3 linked regions of the Stegostoma tigrinum genome follow. The protein of the gene in region 2 purifies or fractionates together with the protein of the main gene of each other region. This does not show direct contact. Links are inferred from orthologs where the notes say so. Each region holds a gene or a part of one and is shown on either strand. Other genes may lie near its edges.

Region 1 (7,605 bases), on a different chromosome or scaffold from region 2:
TTGACAAGAGGGAGGGGAACTAACCCCACCAATCTGAAAAGGAATGAGACTGCATGGTCAAGATTTCAGCATTAAACTGCATATCTTTCAAATCCGACAGCTATGATCAGTTTCATATCATTAATGACAGAATGTTTCAGCATCAAGTCAATCCCAATCTCTGTCCTTTTATCTCAGTCACACTGCCTTGTAGAAATGCTGAGTACAGTCCAGCACATTGGTTCCTTACCATCTTTATGATCAAGTCAGTACCATGTCATTTACTGGTCTTTGAGCAGAATCAAAGTCATACTGCAAGGAAACAGATCCCTCTGTCCAGCTTGTCCATGCCAATCAGACATCCCAAGCTGACCTAGTCCCACTTCCCAGCATTTAGCCTAAATTCCTCTAAGCCCAAACCATTCATACAGTTGATGCCTCTAACCTTTAAGGGCGTGACATGCATCTATTATTATGGCACACTGCCTCAGTGGCATCAAATACTGCACCTAGTCATTTCCTTTTAATAGCCTGAAGTGTTATCACACAACGGGGCAACTTTCCCACTAAAATCACCATGACATTTTCTTCTTCCTTTAAAAACCAACTACCACTAGTAATTACCAAACATTGGCAAGCAAAGTCCATATGGGCAAGGCAAACCATCAGAATTGAGGGGGAGGAAAGGAGATGGGGAGTAGTTTAAATCAAAATGGAGTCATTTGCTTCTTGGGCCTTCAAGAAACAATATCAAATTGAGTTTACAAAACAATTAACAATTATCTTCAATACTGAGTACAATGCATAATGTTGACCAAGTGCATAGTTCTTTAACTGAGGGATCAGACCTTGTCTCACATCCGTTCTAAGCAACCACCAGCTTCACTAGAGACGGCTATCCTCAAGTTTTTCCTGGCCACATTTCTTTCCTGTTGCAAATAAATCCACATTAAAACAGTATTCCCTCAAATAGATTCTACGATCCGTAACATTCTTGACAGGTCTACAAAGGTTCCACAAAACAAGAATTAGTTAAAAACTTAAAACATATTTGAATTACTTTTCAGAAGGAGGAAAATGAAAGCCATTCCTAAACAGTAACTTGTTTAAGGTTCTGAATTTCAAAACATCCATTCAACGAGGAACAAAAAAGTTGCTGGAAAAGCTCAGCAGGTCTTGCTGCATCTGAGAGGATAAAAATCAGTTAACATTTTGGGTCCAGTGACCCTTCCCTCAGAAACTCAATGAGTTTCAGGTGCAAAGATTAGTCAATCAGCAAAACTAGCTACTTAGTAAGATAACTGAATCAGGAAATAATGTCAAATTACCTCAGATTAAGCAAAAGTGAAATACTCTATACACAAATAGTACATTCTCATTAGGAGAGAACCAACCCAAATATCTCACAGCAGTGAGGTAGCTTAGCATTCCACAGGATTCAAGTTGGGAAGCATTACTACTGCAGGGCAAAAACATTTCAAAAAGCAAATTGTTACTGCTAGATCAGCAACACTGTCAATTGTTTTGATTCCTGCAACATAAACAATATGTACAGTTATACAGTTGCAGTTTTAAGGTAAAAGTCTGCAGACCATGCAGTACTTACCAGACAAAGGCAAAGCAATCACACTTGAGCAGAAAGGCCCATCTATTTTGGGTAGAACTAGTCAAAATTTAATAAGGTCAAACGTTTCAAAACTAACCCTGGCAGCTTGTGAAAAGGAATGACCTGAAAGAATAATACAGATGAGCCACATTTGGGGTACGCTTGGGCTAATCAAATAGCTCAGCTGTCTTAAAGCTTTAACACAATTGTTATATTATAACCTGACATTACACAGATCTATTTATCAAAAACAATTACTCTTACATCTATAAGTCAATCATACCCCTAATTCACCAAGATGCCATGTTATTGCTGCTTGACGAACGCAGAGGAAGAAGGAATCCGCAAGGCCCAGGTAGAAACAGACTTTCTCCCTGTTTTGGTAAGTTCATTCAGGTACTGTCTTCACTTTCATTGACCATTTGAAAACCCAACAAGGAATGAACCAGCATGAAATCTAATTCTGGAGAATGATCTGTAACAGGTGCAACATGTTGCAGAAAGAACATCTGGGAAAGCAGTGCTCGCGTTTGGTTTAGAATAGTTATGAAAAAGACGACTAAATCAATAAGGTAATTGGAGACAAAATTTCAAGAACAGGCAAGCAATGGGAGGCCTTCAAGTTAAAAACAAGCACAATGAGAAGGGCAAAAATGCAAAGACATAGCTCAGTAAATAATTGAAGAAAACGACATTAAAAATACAATGCTTAGTGGTCAACAAGTTCAGAGAAAAAGTCGTGTAGAACACAATATGCAGTTGAGAATTAGAAATTAAAGGGTAAAGTGGAGAAAAATTAGGGAAAACTTTGTCAAAACGAGGGGGAAGCTAAACGTCAAGGAAAATGTTGAAAGGAGAGGGCATAGTTAGGGTAATGAGTGAAAACGCTGCATGTTTTTAGCGGATAACATTGGACAGAAGAGATTGAGGATGTTGCCTGTAGCACAATTGGAAAAAAGTCAGCTGGCTCCAATGCAGATTTAGAATGAATATTACCGTAAGTTCATACTGTAATTATTTTGGACATCGCCACTTGATCGAGCACTAATTTATATTCCAAGTCTCTTGGGCGGGGGAGAAGAGAAGTATCGGAACTACAATCTACGTACTATCATAACAGTTTGGGATATTTAAACGAATGCCCTTTCCGACTTGGTCGACCACCAACCCATGATTTCTCAGGGGTAGGTGGTCACTTGATCCCGACCCGTTTACTGCATGTAAAACCTCAAATAACGCAAACTCCCATAAACAAGTCTACGTAAATCTGCAGAAGGACTGGAAATAATGCGAAGTCAACAATTCATCTGTGCCGTGGAGAAAGCAACAAAAAGTAAATTCTGAAAACAAGTGGGCTCTCCGCTCCTCCAAACACCAAGTGCAGGGGAATTCAAACAGGCTTGGTTGCCTAAAACATCTACCAAGCTGATGGGTGGCAAAAATAGGACAAAAGGCGCCATCGGTAATTGGACAGACGGGCAAAACAAATAAAGGCCGTGTTTGTCCGAGCGGGTATAAGGTTAGGAGATAATTATGCCTCAAGGGAGGGTGAACGAGGCCCCCCACCCACACCCAGGCCTCCCAGTGGCACAACAGGAAGGCGCCAGCAGCCTGCACTCACCCTTGGCCAGGGCCACCGTGGAGTTGTCCGTGTCGATGGTATACAAGATGCCCTCGTAGCGGATCTGCGCCTTAGAGATGAGGCTGATCTTGCTGCCGATGTACGGCGTCCCGCCGCTCATGGTGACGGCCAAAACCGGTCGATTCTCCCCTTTTTTTTTAAACCCTCCCGCCTTGCAGCCAATGCAAAACCTCTTCCTTTCTTCTCTTCCCCCACCAAAAACACCACCCTACCTCAATAACTTACTTCCACTCTCTTTACCCACAACAGCAAAGACCCACCTCCCTCCCAGCCTGGCGGCGCTTAAATAAGGTGTCACCGCCGCTGCGACCGCCTTCCAGTTCCGCCCCCGGGAACACGGGGCCGTACCGTCTACTCCAGCGGCACCTGCAGGTCGGAGGTCTGCCATTGCACCCACATGTTCTGCCCAACTCCGAGCAGGTATTTGTCACATTCAGTAGGCATAGGGTTACCCTCTGTATAATGGTGAGTCTAACGGTCTCCTGGTGCAGAGGTAGTGTCGCTCAATATAAAGTCGCCAGAGTTACCAGACCAAAGGGCTGCTCTCTCATCAAGGAGACAACCGGTGGTGGCTTAACCTAAGGGTCCCTCCGCCTCGGGTGAAGGGAGGGGAGAAGTTGAGAGGGAGAGTCCTTCACGGTAAATCTCAACAAGTGCGGGTATTGAACCCACGCTGTCGGCCCCTATCTCAGTAAAATAAAATCTGGGTCCAAGTTTCGCATGTCCCACAGGGTATGTCATGTCATGTCTGAACAGTTGATTAAGAATAATTATACTGGTGAGCATGGATGCTGTCGAGCTTATACCAACAATTCTCCTTCAAAGTGGCACTGCACATATTGACATTATTTTTTAATCCACTGTTAGAGGTGAGAGGACTGTTTAATTGCACTAAAAGAGCCTTTTGTTGCTTATATTTATATACCAGATATCAGTTAGAAGCACAAAATCAGCTTATGTATTAATTCCTCAGCCCTGTTCCCTCCCAATCTTAAATTACTGAGTAGTCCCTCTTCACAATGAGAATGTGCTTGCTCCAACAAAAACAGGCATTAATGAAACAGTTTTTGAGAATAATCTGTATATTACTATGATCAGAATTTAATTCATAATATTTCTAATGTTCTCAGTTCCATTTTTAATTTTGATGATCAGCAATGTACAAACCAAGCTTCCACAAAAGCAAAATACAGTGAATGCTGGGAATACTGACTGCAAATGTGATCTTTGGAGAAAAAAAGTATTTATGTTTTATGTTGGTTACTATTCATTAATAATGGAAGTTTATAGATATTACAGATTAAAGCATGTGTGGAGGTGGGTAAGGGGAAAAGGAATAACAACAAAAAGGGAATCTGTGGTTGGCCACAAAACAGAAGCGATTGAATGTCAATTAGATAGCATCTATGGCAAAAAGGAAACAGTGCGTAATTATGGCTTTGAACTTCCAGTTGCCTTTCACTAAAATTCTCCACTCCACAAGAGGTGCTGTTCCTAAAACCTACGATGAGTTTCATTGAAATAGTATGGAAAGCTGAGGACAGAAATGTCAGAGTGGAGTGAGGTATGAAAATGATTGGCATTCGGTAGCTCAGAGTCCTACTTTGTGCAATGTTTCCTTTTTGCCACGGACACCCAATCTTTTTATACATTCATCGCCATCAGAATTGTCTGAAAGCTCTCTATTCCTTCCATGAATGAAATCTCCATCCAGTCTCACTTTCCTCTGCTTGGATGAACTTGTTCTCATATTGATCAAATTCACCTTTAATCCCACTCACATCCTCTGAATAAAAAGGACAATGTCAACTATGGGCTTACCTAACTTTTCATGTGAACATTCTCATCTTTAGTCCTAATCAAGTCCCTCCGTTGTATTTTTTTCTGGCACATCAATGACTGTAATAGATACTGTTCCCTGCTCTGTCCCTGAACTAGAAAATTTCAGTAACATTACTTTAGATTTGCACGATTCCAGCAGCTTCAAATGATCCGCTCTTAATTCTTCTATTCCTTTCCTGTACTTCACTGTCCCAGGATTGGCTGTTGACTAATATTCAATACAGGACCACTGACATCCATAGCCTCCACTTCCTCACACCTTGGTTTCTTAATTTCCCTATTTAATTCTCAAAGAATCTCCACCTTTCAGTCACTTGTTCCGACGAACAACCTTATGTAGCAGCTATTCTGGTATATCTTCCTTTCTCCAATTTGCTTCCTCCCCTCAACCTACCCCTCAGTTTCTTGATGTTTTGAGACCATGTCCATTGCATTTCCAGTCATTCTGCTATGACCACGTTCCTAGTCCCCTCCAAATCCCAGAATTATGATAAAGTTCCTTTTTTTCTAAACCAACAGACTCCATATTCAATTTTTCATGCTGTTTTTTCCACCACCTTCACCAATGACAACATCAAACATATTTTCCCCTCCCTTTACTTTTCAGAAATCTGGAGGGACTCTTTATAACTTTTTCATGGGATGTGGGCTGGCAATTGTTGCCCATCCCAAGTTACATTTACAGGGATGTTGGTGAGCTGCCTTCTTGAACTGCTGTCCATTTATGCCTTGCAGATGGTAGACAAGCTTTGAGGAGTCAGGTAGTGAGTTATGTGCTCCAGGATTCCTAGCTTCTGACTTGCTGTTGTAATGACAGTACCTATTTGGCCAGTCCAATTCAGATTCTGGTCAATGGCAACCCTCAAGATGTTGAAAGTGTGCAATTCATGGTAAGACCATTGAACGTCAAGGGACAATGATTAAATCCTCTCTTGTTAGAGATGGCGATTGCCTGGCACTCGCGTCTCACAAATTTTATTTGCCATTGTCAGCCCCAACCTGGATACTGCCCAGGTCTTGCTGCATTTGGACATGGATTGCTTCAGTATTTGCGGAGTCGTGAATGGTGTTGGTCATTGTACAATCATCAGTAAACATCCCCATTTTTGACTTTATGATGCAGGGAAGGGTTATTGATAAAGCAGCAGAAGATGCTTGGCCAAGGACATAATTCTGAAGAACTCTTATGGAGATACCTTAGAGCTGAAATGACTGACCTCCAAAAGCCACAACCATCTTCCCATGTGCCAGGTATGACTGCAACAAATGGAAAATTTCCATGATTCTCATTGATACCAATTTTGCTGGGATTCCTTGATGACATACTCAGTCAAATATAACCTTGAGATCAAGAGCGGTCACTCTCACCTTACCTCTTGAATTCAGCTTGTTGCAAAGTTGGGTAGAGTACTTGTGGATTGGGAGGCAGGAATTTAGTGTTTGTAAAATGGATGGGGGTGTGGGGGAGGAAAGCATTGCATGGTCCTTTTAAAAGATGATGCGCTTTTTCGGCGCGTAGAGACTTAAAGCGGATGTCTGTGAGCAGCAGCTTCAAAATATAGAAGCACATAGTGAGCACCCAAGTTGAAACATTTGTATCAAAAGGCAATACAGTTAGCAGGCCAAGCAGCAGCATTTTAGGACCAAGACAATAGGCTTTTGAGTTTAGCCAATTGATTTGAACCGGGTGCTTAGATATCAAAGACCATCAAATTTACATTTGGTGGTTTTGACAACTTAAAATCAATCCTATTGTAATGAATATTGATATGTCATCAAGGGTATAAAAGGAGGAGACATTTGGACAAAGATCCCAGAGCCAACAGCCCTCATCTCTCAAGACAGAATCACTGGCTGTCACAGCCTCTTCTGTGTCTTAGAGAAAGCACCATCTGAGTAGCAATAGTACCAACGGCACAACTAGTTAATATTCTTGACCAAACAATCGATGGAGAAGGCATTCCTGACATAGGAATCAATGGAGAAGGCACAGAACATTCCACAAGACACGTAATATCGCCGTAATTTCCAGAGATTACATTTTTTTTTACATGTATATGTGGGATTTGTATTTATTGGAACAGCATACCATTAGAATCTTGCTTTATTCAGGACCAGTTAGTAGTGAGAAGGGATTTATTCAGTTTGTTAATAGTTTAGCTAATTTGTTCACTGTTAGAATGGGATAAATAAATTGTTACTTGTTGATTTTAAATTGAGTGTCAGAGATTTATTTATTTAACTACTAAAGTCGCTGAAAAACAGATTACACCACTTTTCACACTCCTTTTACAGATCATAGGGCAAGGCACTCCTCTTTGGGTGTTTTGGTTTTAGTTCTTGATGGCATGGGGGGGGGGTCAACCTCTGCTTTATAACAAGCTGTTTTTACGTTTGAACTATGGCCATCATGAGACCAATATCTGAGTTTCCTTGGTGGAACTCAAACTGAGCATTGCTGAGCAGGTGCTGTTGATGTCACTATTGATAACAACTTCAATCTCTTCACTGACAGTCGAGAGTAAAGTGATGGGTC
Region 2 (8,475 bases):
GGAGAACACCAGCTTCTCCACATTACTGACGTTCGAAATCCCTGTTAACTTTTACACCCTCTCCAAGGTCTAAATTTAAAAAAAAGACGAGGAGACACTTATCACCCACCTCTCACTCTAAAAAGCAATATCTCCATTTATCGTCCTGTGACTTTTGGGTCAGTCATATTGTAACAACACTTGATTGGATACTGTAAAATTAAATTCTGACCACTGTCACGGCCACCAGGCAGTTATGATCCGAGTTACTACATGCTTCAGATATTTGGACAACGTACAGCAGGGACCCACTTGATGTACCACTACAAGTGCCTTTACAAGAGCCTCCAAATCCAGTGGCAAGCAAGCCAAACCAACATGCCACTAATCATTTAAAACCAATCTGCTGAGCAGGGCATGATTTTCACACTCGCAAGACCAAACAAAACCACCAGCTCGTAGGAAACCCTGGCATTTGACTGACTAAAAGAATGTTCTTTAGGAGGTCAACAAACCTAACTCAGGAACACAGAGACAGAAGATATCAGGACAGTACGCAAACTTCTGAGCAACTATCTACCTATCCTTCACGCACAAGTTGTTTTGCATGGGACAGAACAGTCAGACTGATCAGAAATGTCAAAATCTATTAAGTTGGAGAAGGAAGAGGAAGCAAGTCATCTTCGATCCAGAAGCACTAGGACAGGACAGCACAGATGCAGGAACTAGGAGCCTTGGTGCCCTCGATTATAACAATACACATGCATATAATACACATATCAAAACAGTGAACAGCCTGGATCTCCTTTCAAAACACAAGCTGGGAGGTGAACTACATGTTTCTATCAAAACCTTTCATCACTTTATATAGTGGACATAGAGAATGATTCTGCTTGGTAGCAAAAAGCATAACTAAAGGCCATCAATATAAGGTAAGTCAAGAAATAGAATATGGAATTCAGAAAAACTCTTGCACGATAAAGGCCAGTACGTGGAAAGCACTACCATACGAGTGGTTGAAGCAAATGATTAGATGTATTTCAGGGGAAATGATAGACGGGCATGAGGGAGATAGACTAGAGAATTACGATAATAGATTTAGAGCAGGTAGAGATGGGAGGTGTCATGGAGAATTAAGACTGCCATGGACTGGTCAGGCCAAATGGCCTGCAGCATATTTTATGTACAGTAAGAAAACTGTTATTTTGCCAGCTTCCAAGTAATCAAATAGCTTGCCATTTTATAATACTGATCTGGACCTAATCATTTTCATCCAATTTACAACAAGTTCGACATTGCATTGGACATAGGTAGTTAACATTATTAAAACTTGCCACTGGCTCTTTTTGCAGTGGAATAGACTAATAACTAGTGTATAAAGGGCAAAGGCAGGTATTTTAAACTGTTTCAATAAGTTGAAACACATCTATACTAAACACTGAATTAATTGCTGACTTTGCGCTACTCCATTCTATTCTATTCTATCCTATCACTTCTGCCTCCAAAATTGAAAAACTTAGTTAAACTGAACAGCATGGACAAATCAGAATGCACTTGTTCAAACAGACTAAGTTAAATAACCTCAAAACAAAAATCATCGGTACAATATTCCAAACATATATCAACCTTCCAAAAATCAAACATGGTTACGTAAGAGGGATTGAACACTCAATTTTTAAAATTTTTTTTAAACAATTAAGAGGATGAGGGTACCACTGGCTAGGCAGCATTTATTGCCCATCCCTAACTGCACAGACAGCAGTTCAGAGTCAACCATATGGCTGTGGGTCTGGAGTCACACATAAGCCAGACTAGGTAAGGATGGCAGTTTCCTTCCCGAAAAGGACATTAAATGTCTTATGTATTAAGCAGGGAGGGAAAAATCAAAGCAGATAATCAACCAATTTTGAAACAAAAAAGTTTGAATTCAACTTCCAAAACCTTGTCAACCTTATTTCCTTCCTTTAAGGTACTCCTTAAAACCCACCTCCTTGCTCAAATTTTACCAATGGGAACTTCTTTGTGCTTTGGTATCATTGTCAAAACAAACGTTCTGGTGCCTGGGGATGTTTTACCACGAAAAAAAGTGATGTACAAGTAGTCACTATTTTTCTAATATTTTGTAACAAATTTATCTTTATCCCATCTACACAAGATTGCATTCACAACATAAAAATCAAGATAGCAAACTTTGGCAATGTAATGTAAACAAATTTAAATGAAAGTTGATAACCGTCCTTAAAAACAACCAAGGGCTGCAGAAACTTCAATTACAAGAACTTAACCTTAACCTTAGCCATTGAGGTAGAATTTCTAGTACAGCTTAGACATTTTTAATTTTAAAAATAAGTTCTATCGCTTGAAATTAAAGAAAGTATCAACATTCCAAACTATTGTTAGCTTTTTATCTTTTTTGGAACAACAGCAAGATTATGATGTTTAAAACCCTAAAGGCCCAACACCATCTGTCACATTGTAGTGACATAAACAGAACGAAAACTGGAACAGAAAAATCTAGCTTCACAGGAGTAAACAAAAATCCACGCGCTTTATTTAATATGCAAGATAGATATTTATGTACTTTTACCAGCCAGCAGACGGAGTGAGAAGCTATAGTTTACAAGAAAGAGTGAAGTGAGGGAGAAAAGGGTCAATATTTACACCAGTTCGCTCATAAAATTCCGGCCGCCTTCTACCACTCCGTCACCCCGAAAAAAAAGGAACAGCCTAAGCTCAAACACTTCCTAAAAAATTCATAAAGAGAAAAACAAGTCTCGACAGCATTATCAGAAATTAAGTAAATTACAATTTTCAGAAGACATTTAACGAAATCTTTCGACATATTCGCGAAAAACGCATAATTTAAAAAAACTGGATTCAAAACACGAAATTTTAAAAGACACGGTCAAACACATTAAAACAAAAAAAAAACGACAAAACAGAGTGTTTGTGGCCTTACAGCAAAGCAACGGCCAACGGAAGAGAGGAAAAAATAATCAACATCCTACGCAGCTTCATAAATAACAGCAGGTAAGCGACCGTTTCCAAAAATAAAATCACATCCTAACTCCTGACACTCGAATAAAAGTGTTAAGAAAAAAACATCATTGAACAAACCCTCGATGGCGACGATTTCTCTCCGACTCTGCTTATGTTTATTCGCTTTTTTTGTCTGCCCGATTCCAATATGGCGTCTTCTCCCTCGGCCCAACGTCATCGGCCGAGCCCGAATCAATCAGTTGACTTTTAAAGCTATCCCACCCCCAAAAAACATCTGGGTTACCTCATCAAACTCAATAAATCAACTACAAACTGTCAGAATTTGTCATCAGTATAAGAATTTAATTTAAGTTTATTGGTGGCGTGTCGGGCGAAATTGTCCTACCACGTGATCTGCCCCCCACCCCATGCAATGTGTGCCTTGATTTTAGCCCAGAGTAATTTGGGAAATTTTTTTTGTTACTGTTGCTCTTGGTCACTTATTTTCCTCTCTTCCCTCCTGGATTTGTCATGGTTTGCTTTGTTTTTTTTTCCTGCATTTGTATCGCTGTTTGCTGATGCTGTTGTTGTTGTTGCAGCAGCAAGTTCGCGCCCTCTCCTGGCAGCTCCATTTTCCATCGAGATGTCGCAAGGATTTGGAAATTGAATCCATCCACGTTGAGTGGTCTCACTTACATGTCCCTTCAAATTCCCCATTCTGTTCGAGTATTCCTGACAATTGCTCGAAGTTTAAAAAAAATGTCGGAGCATGGAATGTTTTGCCACAGGAAGTGTTTAATACGTCTTTTCGAGGTGATTATTTTGAAATACAGATACGAGGACTATTTTGGAATGGTTGGCTTTATTTTGTACCATGAGCTCTGATTTGATAACTACCCCTCTGCTTCCCTCGGCTACACTAGCCACAGTTAAACAACACCATAATCTTATATTTTTTTGTACATTCATAGGTTGTGAGCACTTACTGGAAGTTCTTTATTCAAAGTCCATTCAGGAAGCATAGGCATTTAGCTGAGTGTAAATGCCTTGAGGAGAACCATTTTGCCTCCACAAAGTGTGAGGCTGGATGAACCCAGCAGGCCAAGCAGCATCTCAGGAGCACAAAAGCCGACGTTTTGGGCCTCGACCCTTCATCAGCAAATGCAAATGCTTTTCTGATGAAGGGTCGAGGCCTGAAACGCCAGCTTTTGTGCTCCTGAGATGCTGCTGGGCCTGCTGTGTTCATCCAGCCCCACACTTTGTTATCTCGGATTCTCCAGCATCTGCAGTTCCCATTGGCTCTGACTCTAGTATAAGCAAGGCAAATCTTCATGAACCACCACAGGTGGAATGTGGTCTGAGCAGCTATTATTATTATTATTATTATTATTCACAACATCTTAGTATTTTAGTTTAATTCCCCTCCCACCCTATCACTGCAGAGTGGACTTGCATTTATATAGTGCTTTGCATGATAATCAGATGTCTCATTGAGATTTGCAGCCAATTACAGCCTAGTTCCTGACAGATGCAACATGAGAAATGAAGCAGTCAGTTTTTACATGGCAACCTCTACTAAACAGTTTTCTGATTTTGTGTTATTCTTCAATGAGACGTGAGCATATTTGTTGCCCTGCCCTTGAGAGGATGACGGTGAGCGCCTTCTTGAACCTTTGTAGTCCATGGGATGTAGATACCCCCACAGGACTGTTAGGAGGGAAGTTCCATATTTTTGACTCAGAAAGAGTGAAAGAACAGTGATATTGTTTCAAGTCAGAATGTTGTATAGCTTGATGTGAAATTGAGGGTGATGGTGGTGTTCCAGTGCATCTGCTTGTCATTCTGGATGAGGTCTTATGTTTGGAAGGTGCTTTCAAAGGAGGCATAGCCACCTGATGCAGTGCATCTTTGGGATGGAATATAATGCTGCCATTGTATGTCTGCACTAGAGGGAGTGAATTTTAAGGTGATGGATTGTGTACTGATCATACTGGTACTTTATCTTGGGTGGTGTCAAATTTCTTAAGCTGTGTATTTAGGCAAGTGAACAGTGTTCCATTACACTCCTGGATTGTATCCTGTAGATGGTAGGTAGACTTATGGGAGTCAGGAAGTAAGTCTCTTGGCACAGAATTCCCAGCCTCTGACCTGCACTTGTAGCCCCAGTATTTACACAGTATCTAGTTCATTTCTAGTCATTGGTAACTCCCAGGATGTTGATTTTTACCCTCGTGTTAAAATTCTTCTCTAGCTTGTTGATCACTATTTATAATGTGTTCCAGCTCCACAAGTCCTCTGAGGTAATGCAAGCTTAATTCTGATTTTTTGAGGATCCCTGATTTTAATCACACCACCATTGGTGGCCATACCTTCAACTGCCAATCCCTAAGCTCTGGATTCCCTCCACATCCATCTACCCACCTCTCTACCTTCCTCGTTTAAGTCACAAGTTAAAAACTATATCTTTGAAGTTTTTGATCATTTCCCTAAGTAACTCATACTATGTTTCACTGTTATATTTTATGAAATGTCTCGGAATGTTTATTATATTACAACACCACATAAATACAAATTATTGCTATAACTCTATGTCAGTGTGGCCTAGCTAGTTGTAGATATTTTAATCAACCTGTTCTAATCTGGTGACAAGGGTAAATAGGGTGGTCAACAGCACTTTAAACTAGTAAGTACGGGGGAAGGGAGGAGTGAGCGTACAGGGAAGCAAAACAGCATGTCTGTAGGTGGACGAAGCTTCAAGAGAACTGAAGAGCTGTTAGTAATGGAGGTGATAGGACTCAGAAAAAGGGTGCAAAACCTGGCATAAGGGCACTTTATCTGAATGCTTGGAGCATCCGAAACAAGGTGGGTGAATTGGTGGTGCAAATCATGGCAAATGGGTACGATTTAGTGGCCATTACAGAGACACGGTTGCAGGATGGTCATGACTGGGAGTTAAATATCCAGGGCTATCAAACTGTTCGGAAGGACAGACAGGAAGGTAAGGGAGGTGGTGTCTCTCTGATTTTTAAGGATGAGATCAGGGTGGTAGTGAGAGATGATATAGGCTCTACTGAATAAAAGGTTGAATCCATTTGGGTGGAAATTAGGAATAGCAGGGAGTATAAGTCACTGATAGGTGTGGTCTATAGGCCACCAAATAATGACATTGTGGTGGGGCGAGCAATAAACATAGAAATAGCTAATGCATGTAAAAATGGTACAGCAATTATCATGGGGGATTTTAATCCACGTATCGATTGGTCAAACCAGGTCAGTCATGGCAGCCTTGAGGAGGGGCTCAGAGAATGCATCCACGATAATTTCTTTGAACAATATGTAATGGAACCTACGAGGGAGCAAGCTATGCTAGATCTAGGCCTGTGCAATGAGACAGGAATAATTAATGATCTCACAGTTAGAGATCCTCTTGGAAGGCACAATCATAGTATGGTCAAATTTAGATTAATTCCCTACAGTGTGGAAACAGACCCTTCTGCCCAATAAGTCCACACTGCTCCTTGGAGCATCCCACCCAGACCCATCCCCCTATAATCCACACACCCTGAACACTACATGGCCAATCCACCTAGCCTGCACATCTTTGGACTGTGGGAGGAAACCAGAAGGACCCGGAGGAAACCCATGCAGACATGGGGAGAATGTGCAAACTCTGCACAGACAGTAACCTGAGGTTGAAATCGAACCTGGGTCCCTGGTGCTGTGAGGCTGCGGTGCTAACCACTGAGCCACCAAGCTGCCCTAAAATACAGATTTAAAATACAGATGGAGTGTGAGAAGGTTAAATCCAGTGCCAATGTCCTGTGCTTAAACAAAAGAGTCTATGATGGGATGAGGGAGGAGTTAGCTAAGGTAGAATGGAAGCAAAAACTTTATGCTGGGTCAATTGAGGAACAGTGGGGGACTTTCAAATTGATTTTTCGCAGTGCTCAGCAGAAGTATATTCCAGTGATAAGGAAGAACTGTAGGGAAAGAAATAGTCAGCCATGGATGTTTAAGGAAATAAAGGAAAGTATCAGATTAAAAAAAACATACAAAAAAGCAAAGAGTAGTGGGAAACTAGTAGACTGGGAAATCTTTAAAGGTCAACTGAAAGCCACAAAGAAGTTATAAAGAAAAGTAAGATAGATTCTGAGAGTAAAATAGCTCAGAATATAAGAACAGGCAGCAAAATATGCATGTCGTAAAAGAGTGGCAAAGGTAAACATTGGTCCTTGAGAGGATGAGAAGGTCAATTCAATAACTGGAAATGAGGGAATAGCCGAGGCAGTTATTTTGTGTCGGTCTTCACAGTGGAAGACACAAATAACATGCCGAAAACGAAAGGCAAAAAGGTTATAGCAGGAGAGGACCTTGAAACTATCATTATCACTCAGGAGGCAGTGCTGGGCAAACTAATGGGTGCTAAACGTAGACAAGTCTCCTGGACCTGATGAGATGCACCCCAGGGTACTAAAAGAGGTGATGGGGGAAATAGTAAATGCACTAGTAATTATTTACCAAAATTCACTGGACTCTGGGGTGGTTCCCACAAATTGGAAAACAGCCAATGTGACAGCACTGTTTAAAAAAGTGAAGTGGACAAAAAGCAGGTAACTGTTGACCAGTTAGCTCAACTTCTGTATTGGGGAAAATGCTTGAATCTATCATTAAGGAAGAAATAGCAAGACATCTGCATATAAATTGTCCCATTGGGAAAACCCAGCATGGGTTCATGAAGGGTAGGCCATGTTTAACTAATTTAGTGCAATTTTTTGAAGACATCATTTGGATGGTGGACAATGGGGAACCTGTGGATGTGGTGTATCTGGAGTTCCAGGAGGCTTCTGACGGGGTGCCACACCAAAGGCTGCTACATAAGATAAAGTTGCACGGTATTACATGTACTATATTGGCGTGGATAGAGGATTGGTTGACGAGTAGAAAACAAGAGTAGGGATAAATGGGTGTTTTTCTGGTTGGCAGTCAGTGGCCAGTGGTGTGCCTCAGGGATCAGTGTTGGGACCGCAATTGTTTACAATTTGCGTAGATGATTTGGAGTTGGGGACTGAGTGTGGTGTGTCAAAATTTGCAGATGACACTAAGATGAGTGGCTCAAGCAAAGTGTGCAGCAGACACTGAAAGTCTGCAGAGGAATCTCAGTTGTCTAAGTGAGTGGGCAAAGGTCTGGCAGATGGAGTACGATGTTGATAAGTGTGAGTTCATCCATTTTGGTAGGAATAACAGCAAAGTGGACTATGCTTTAAGGGGTAAAAAATTGCAGCATGCTGCTGTGCAGAGGGACTTGGGTGTCCTTGTGCATGAATCGCTAAAAGTAGGATTGCAGGTGCAGCAGGTAATTAAAAAGGCAAATGGAATTTTGTCTGTCATTGCTAGAAGGATAGAGTTTAAAAACAGGGAGGCAATGCTGCAGCTGTATAGGGGCCTAGTGAGGCCACACCTGGAGTACAGTGTGCAGTTTTCGTCTCCTTACTTGAGAAGAGATATACTAGCACTGGA
Region 3 (7,495 bases), on a different chromosome or scaffold from region 2:
AGTTACATGGGAGGGCTTTTATACGGAAGATATTGTCACCTGCAAGTCAAATTTCCATCCGACTCAGGATTTGAGTGGCCTAACATATTGGATAGGACAGACCACATCTGCAACATTCTGGAAGGTAATGCTGCCACAGTGAGATTGATTGTTTGACCAAGTGAAGAGACCTGGTAGGTTATAATTCTAGCTCCTTAATGAGACCATCTGGATCCAGGATTTTTCCCTAATCATCTCACTCAATTTAAGATTAAGAAAGCCAAATGGAATAAGACATGGAATGGGTCTGAAGATCTGGCTTAAGTCTTGCCTAAGGAATGAAACAAACTTAGATTATTACCATTCTCCAAGTAAGTTTCAGGAAATTTATAATATCCAATATATTGCTAGGATCCAGGAATTTTTCTTCAATAATGCAACTCTCCAGCGAAGAGACACTGGGACTTAAAAGTTAGCAATACAGAAGACTTGAGACACAACATAAATCCTTAAGAATATAGAAGTTAATTAAAGAGCTGAGCATAAAATTCACAATTTCTTAGAGATTCACTCAAACCCCTTCATTTACCTCAACAGCTGACAACATTTAGACTGTTTTTACCAAGTTATCAACTAATTTCTTATGTATAGTCACAGTATACCAAGCAAGCAACTCTGTCCCTTTTAAGTCCCCAAATAAAGAAACCTGGTAAGATTATTCTATCTTGGATTTCTAAGAAAATAGTTGAGTTGTAAGATGAGGGGCTTGAGATGTCTCTTTTCAAGACTACTTTGAGTTGCGATTATAGGGTTATTTCTAATAGCTTGAAGTTGGTCAACTGCGTCGACAAAAAGTTTACTGTAGTTTAGTTCAATCAGCACAAAAAACACTACCAAATATTACACCATGGTGGCTCTCCTAACTGTTGGAAAAACTCATTCATCAGTGTTTTATCCTGTGGAAAGCTTTATGACATTAGCAGTGGAACAATCCCATCATGAATTAGTCTTAATGTATTATGATGAGGTAACTTGTTTCATTCAGATGCCCACAATCATCCATATTACAGAGATTAACAGGTCGACTTTCTGAAGTTAAACAAATATACAGCCCTCGTTTATTGGAAAATGACGCTTCGAGCCTTTTAGCATCTTAATGTGGCTAGATTCCTTCAGTGAAACGTTGGAAAATTCATCCCTTGATTGTGGAATATTACCCAAAAGAGAGCACTTGTTCTGGAAAAGATGGTGACTTATCTCATGAAGGCAGAGGCTCAGAGCAGTCATTTACACTCAGCAGAGGAAAAAAATGTGGTCATTGCTGCTATACAAGAAACACAGTGGCCAGTATGTGCTCAGCAAAATCCTACGAACAGTAATGTGACAACGACAAGATCATCCAGTTATGTTACAGACAAGCAACATTTTAAACTAACAATATTTTCACCCACCAGTATGCATGTACTGCTGCAGAACGAAACATGATACAACAGACCCAACAGCCTAACATATTCTACTCTATCAGGAAAGGACAGATAGGTTAGAAATACAAGCCCTGGTTTTACCTTCAATGTATTTGTAACTGGACTTATGCATGTGGTTAATCTACAAACAAACACTTATGCAGGAGTGTTAGAATGGTGCTGTAATAAATTTGCAGCTTGTCAAACCTCAAAACATAGAATTTGACAACACTCCAGGGTGAGAGATGTTCACGTACTTGACGTTCCTGTCAATACCAAACTGGCCGGCATGCAAGACCCATTATTATAGCATCATAGAGCTGTACAGCATGGAAACCTTGTTGCAAACAGACCCTTCAGTCCAACTCATCCATGCCAATCAGATATCCTAAATAAATCTAGTCCCATTTGCCAGCATTTGGCCCACATCCCTCTAAACCCTTCCTATTCATATACACATCCAGGTACCTTTTAAATTTTGTAAGCATACCAGCCTCCACCATTTCCTCTGACAGCTCATTCCATACATGCACCAGCCTTCGCATGAAAAGGTGGCCCCTCAGGTCCCTTTCAAATCTTTCCCTCCTCACCTTTAACCTATGCCCTCTAGTTTTGGATTCCCCACACTGGGGAAAAGACCTTGACTATTCACCCCTTCCATGCCCCTCATAACATTATAAACCTCTAAGGTCACCCCTCAGCCTTTTGAAACAAACAGTGAAGGTTTTTATCCTTGAACCTTGAAAGCCATGATGTATATCACAACGCAACGTACACCTATAGGGTTAGTATGCTCAGTAGTCTTGAAACATTGAAGTTCTTTTTACCGCAAAAGTTTAAAAAAGTTCCTTTCCAGAGAAGGCGTTAATTTCATAACGTACAATGTAAACTGGCTTAGACTGACAGGCTCATTTTCCTGTCCATAACACGTTATATAAAATGAAAAAGATTGCAAGCTTGCAAATATTAAGCAAACCATCAGTGATTATAACCATTTTCAACAAAGGTCAAAATTAAACTTGATGAAGCATGAGAATATCAGAAGATAACACTCAAGAGGGTCTGTCAACATAAGTCTGTATTAGTTTAACAACACGTGTTAAACTGAACTAAGCAAAACTTTCTACCATTATAATTGAACAGGAAGGGGATTCAGATGATAATTTACAGCATCAATTCAAATTAAAAAGTCTAGATGCAGGTTATGATCAAGTAGGCCAAATTATCAACACTACTACTTTCTTGGCTCTTTTAAGAATAAAGCCAACATACGTTGACTGTCGGTGCATCCACATCTGAACTTATTTACAAGCTGTCGAAGCAATCCGGTAAGAAATTTCTGCCTGCACGTTAGACTGTGATAAACAGTGTTATTCCAGGAAACGAAATTGAAAGTCGACTGGCTGACCAGTGAAACATATTGAACAACAAAAACAAATTGGTTCCGAAGGAGGGTCACTACACCCAAAACGTTAACTCTGCTTTCTCTGCACAGACACTGCCAGACGTATTGAATTTCTCCAGCAATTTCGTTTATTGTTTCATATCTCCAGCATCCGCAGGTCATATAGTTCTTTTCGGTCAATATCTGGCATCAGCAAAGACACCACCCTCTGGAAGCACTACATTCGAGCAGCTAACCCCACCACACGGACAACGGGCCGGTAGCAGGTCCCCGATTCTGAGAGAACCATCTTCGAGTAACTAAGCCCCGCGAAGGGAAAAAGCAGTGCCTCAGGGGACAGCCAATCTACGGTGGAGGTCCCAGTAAACAAGGCCTGGACTCCGGATTAAAGCGATTCACTCCACCCAACCTCCAGGATTCCCGGGTAACACCCGCCCAGCCCCAGTAAGTCAGCCGCTTCCAGGGCTTCACGCAGCCTTTAAACAAAGCGGCCCGGGCTCTATACTTACCGGAGACCCGGTCCAGCTTTAGCATATCCCGCAGGTGCTGTGTAGCATTCTCAATATCCATCTTAGACGCCTGGCTGAGTGGCGACGGCAGCGGCCCGAAAACCAGAGGGATGCGCACGCAGCCACCCCGCCAAACAGTCGGCGGTGCCACGGACAAACAGGTCTCTTCCGGTGTAATCACAAACTCTCCCTCTGACTGCCGAACCCCAGCCCAACGGACCGTCCTGGAGCGATACGATGCACCCCGTCACCAAATAACTTTGTACTCCTAAATGAATAACAAGGTTCATTCACGCCTGATATGATGATGTACCAATGGATGCATATGTAAGTTTCACGAAGAAAAGGGAAACATGTTGCAGAGAAAAAAAGATCATACGGTGTGAAATGGAATGCTAATTTAGGTTAAGGGATGGACCTCCAGAAATGCAGGACCAAACATTTGGAGGCAGAAAGCAGAGACTAGTGGCAGCTTTGAGTTGAGAATGTGTCATGCTTTTGGGACGGTTCAATATGCTCTCAAGTCGGAAGACAATGCAGGACAATATAACAAAAACAGAAGTTGCTGTTTTGAACAGTTCTGAGGAAAGGTCACTGAAACCAAAACGTTAACTGTTGATTTCTCGCCACAGATGCTGCCAGACCTGCTGAGCTTTTCCAGCAATTTCTCTTTTTCTTTCAGATTTCCAGCATCCGCAGTTTTTTTCGGATTTTATTTCCTGTCTAGTGCAGAACAATTTAAATCTGAAAACATCAATAAGAAGGAAGGAAATAGATCTTTAAGGAAATTTAACCAAAATATATAAACAGATTGAAAAAGTTTCTTCAGATATTTTTAAAAAGTTAACAAAGCAAAAAGAAGTAGCCCATGAAACAATTGATGCATTGGTTTTAATTTCCCAAAACTGATTTGATTCAGGGAAGGTTTCTTTAGATTGAAAAATAAGTAGTCTAACTCCATTCGTCAAAAAAGGAAGGGAAGCAGGAAACTGGAAATTACAGGCCAATTAACATTATTTATCGTTGGGAAAATGCTTCCGTCTATTATAAAAGATGGTACAACAAGACATGTGGATAAATTCAAGGTAATCAGGAAGGTAGAGAAAGATCCCAGAGAGAGGTATAAGTAGATTGTTGACAGTCAGCCAGGGAAGAAAAAAAGCTAAATAGTTGATAACAGAGACTATGCGTGTGTAAAAATAAGTTGGCTATGCTGAAAGATAAGGATGGAGTTGTTTAGGTTCTAAAATTATTGAACTTTATATATATATGAGTCCTGAAGGCTGCAAAGTCACACATGGAAAATGAGATGCTGTTCGTCTACCTTTTGCTGAGCCTTGCTAGAGAACGGCAGCAGCTGAAAAAGAAGGTTAGCATGTGTTGAATTGAGAGGTAACAGGAAGCTTATGGTCATTTTTTACAGACAGAACATAGGTGATAGTGAGTTTTGAGAAGATTTGTAGCTCAGGTTGAGGTTCTGGCTGTGAGTTGCTCGCTGAGCTGGAAGGTTAGTTTTCAGACGTTTCGTCACCATTCTAGGTAACATCATCAGTGAGCCTCCGATGAGGTGGTGTTCTACAAAGCGGTCACCTTGCTTGTATTTCGTCTCCCCCATGTAGTGGGGACTGCATTGTGAACAGTGAATACAGTCGACTAGATTGAGTGAAGTGCCGATAAATTGCTGCTTCACCTGGAAGGGGTGTCAAGGACCTAGAAGAGTGAGGAAATTGTAGGTAAACAGACAAGCGTTGCAAGTTCTGTGATTTCATGAGAAGGTGTTGGAATTGGAGAAGGAGGAGAGAGCAGGGTGTCCCAGAGGGAACGGTCCCAGGGAAAGCTGACAAGGGAGGGGAGGGGAGGGCAAGAGAAGGTATATCTCATAGTGCCAACCTGCTGTAGCTGGTAGAAATGTCTGCTCATTGTGCTTTGGATGCAGAGGCCAGTGAGATGGAAAGTAGAGATTGGGGGACCGTATTGTTGATGTGGGAAGGAAGAGAAGGGGGTTGGCAGAAGTGCAGGTGATAGGTCTGACTTGGCTAAGGGCACTGTCAACCACAGGGGTGGGAAATCCTTGGTTGAGTAAGAAAACGGAGTAACTTTTCACCAGATGCTATCAATTCTGAAAAAGGATTATTCTGTTTTCCCTCCACAGACATGGCCAGATTTTGCAATTTTCTCCAGCAATTTCTGTTCCTGTTCCAGATACTTACCGTTGGTTTGGTATTATCCTAAACCAATAACTTAAAATTACAGAAAATAATTATCAATTGAATAGAAAATTCGCAGACCTTTTTGCACGATCCTGCCATGACTTCAGTGAGAATGCAATGGATTAACTGCAGACTAGGCAACATCTAGATCCCGATCTGGGATGAGAGTTTCCTAACACCTGATCAAGTCAGAGGTCCGAGTTTCTCCTCAGCACAAACACAGCTATCAGCAAACAGGCGTTGTTCTAAAGCTGGAAGTTCTCACTTCCCAGCCTTGGTTAAAAGATGGAGCAGACTGAGTGACACAGAGTGTGACCTGGCCTAACAGCTCATTGAATGGCAAGTGTGTGAACTTAGCTAATATTCAAGCCTGAATCAAAGCGAGAAGAATCATACCAGACACGAAACATTAACCCTGTTTCTCTCTGCACAAATGCAGCCAAATCTTAAGTTTTCCAGTAACTTCTATTTTTTATTTGAGTAAAGAAGGTTTTGTTTTGTTACATAGAGTCCGAGGGTGCATTGGTGACTGCTTCCACTGCCCAGTATAGTGTATGTTAATTTAAGTATGAAGCTCCCACAACATGCAGACAGCCAAATGTATCTCAAGTGGTTAATATGCAATAGACTTAGATAAAAGAATCGTGACAACTTTGGTACTCTCACTACCACTGTATAGAAAAGGTATACCTCAGCACTGCCATATCAGTGCAGCTACCATATTACTATCCGTGATGTAAACATTGATACAGGGTTCAAGAAATGATTTTCCCTCATAGTTGTATCAGTGGGTTGAAAGCAGAAGCTAGGACTCCAAATGGACCAACATTCTTCCCCACATCGCATTCTCCAGACATTATGCTGACTGAAAATACCATGCATTGTTCTCATTTCTGAACATTTGTGTCATAAACAGATGATACTGGATCCAGAATGAAGTCACAGACTGGCTTACTTGGATTTCTTATGTCATAATGACACAAGTAAGCTTCTCCCCCTTCTAAGCAAAGTGCAGTAGTGTTTCATAGCTCACATCATTGTATAATTGTTTTTGCATATAGGTGATGATTAGGCTATTTACTGACCCTTTCTCCATTTGTTGGTACCGGTTTGTTCTGGTTTTATAGTCCATGTTATTTGCTTTCTTGTTTCCATACATCAAGTTGTTTGACTTGTCCTTCTTCTCCCTGGTTCTACATAGGATACCTTCAATGATTCCCAGGACCTTTGACCAGCTATCCTAACATTACACCAACATATCATGCATAAACGTAGAAGATTGTCTAGACCTCCCTTCGTCTGTTTTCATCTTGTAGGTAATTCTCATTATATATTTCTCCCTGTAACTTTTAAATGCCTCACTGAATATTCTTTTCATTTTAAATTTTACTCACTTATCAACCACTATTTCAGTTTCCCATTGGATTATGAGTCAGTATACTGGCAATTTGATGTTTTCTTGTTCTTCAGGCCACAATAAGCATTGTGTCAAATAACTGAAAACTCTGAAACCCAGTCTGCAGGGCATTTTCACCATGATCCCCTCATGTTAGTTACTTCGGATCTAAAAATCAGTTCAGCACCTTTATAGTCATCCTAACGTCATGCCACACATGCTTGACTTTCAAGTGATATTCAAAAATCGAAAGTGGTGTAGGAGTGCTTGTATCTCCTCCCTGTTTGGTCCCAGTGTTTTAGTGACTAAAGCATTCACTTAAGTTGTCTTTTACAAAAGGTCATGGTCAAGGGCACACATATTTCCAAGTGAAAGCTCCCAGTTAATTTCAATATCAATTAATTAATCACCTCTACTTTCTTTTCATGTGATTTAACAACGCCTGTCATTATAGTTTAATTCTAAGTGTGCAGTCCCTTGCTTGCCTGATTTTCCCTGATTCAGGAGCTCTCGAAAAACATTATTTGTCCTGT

Evidence for each region. Proteins that work in one complex are often made in the same cells at the same time.
Region 1: the proteins of ddx6 (region 2) and lsm14b purify together in Homo sapiens (affinity purification with mass spectrometry; 4 studies listed by BioGRID and IntAct, counting the BioPlex papers as one, with this or other methods). This does not show direct contact. The link is inferred for Stegostoma tigrinum from reciprocal best matches to the Homo sapiens genes DDX6 and LSM14B.
Region 3: the proteins of ddx6 (region 2) and edc4 purify together in Homo sapiens (affinity purification with mass spectrometry; 4 studies listed by BioGRID and IntAct, counting the BioPlex papers as one, with this or other methods). This does not show direct contact. The link is inferred for Stegostoma tigrinum from reciprocal best matches to the Homo sapiens genes DDX6 and EDC4.

What each region holds. Positions count from the first base shown.
Region 1 is NC_081372.1:17,963,479-17,971,083, reverse strand, and holds the start of lsm14b (protein LSM14 homolog B), read right to left. Parts: upstream 3,498-7,605; 5' UTR 3,328-3,497; coding exon 3,207-3,327; intron 1-3,206. UniProt on the Homo sapiens protein: mRNA-binding protein essential for female fertility, oocyte meiotic maturation and the assembly of MARDO (mitochondria-associated ribonucleoprotein domain), a membraneless compartment that stores maternal mRNAs in oocytes.
Region 2 is NC_081385.1:2,253,543-2,262,017, forward strand, and holds the start of ddx6 (probable ATP-dependent RNA helicase ddx6), read right to left. Parts: upstream 3,501-8,475; 5' UTR 3,097-3,500; intron 1-3,096.
Region 3 is NC_081369.1:18,116,615-18,124,109, forward strand, and holds the start of edc4 (enhancer of mRNA-decapping protein 4), read right to left. Parts: upstream 3,498-7,495; 5' UTR 3,418-3,497; coding exon 3,357-3,417; intron 1-3,356. UniProt on the Homo sapiens protein: In the process of mRNA degradation, seems to play a role in mRNA decapping. Component of a complex containing DCP2 and DCP1A which functions in decapping of ARE-containing mRNAs. Promotes complex formation between DCP1A and DCP2.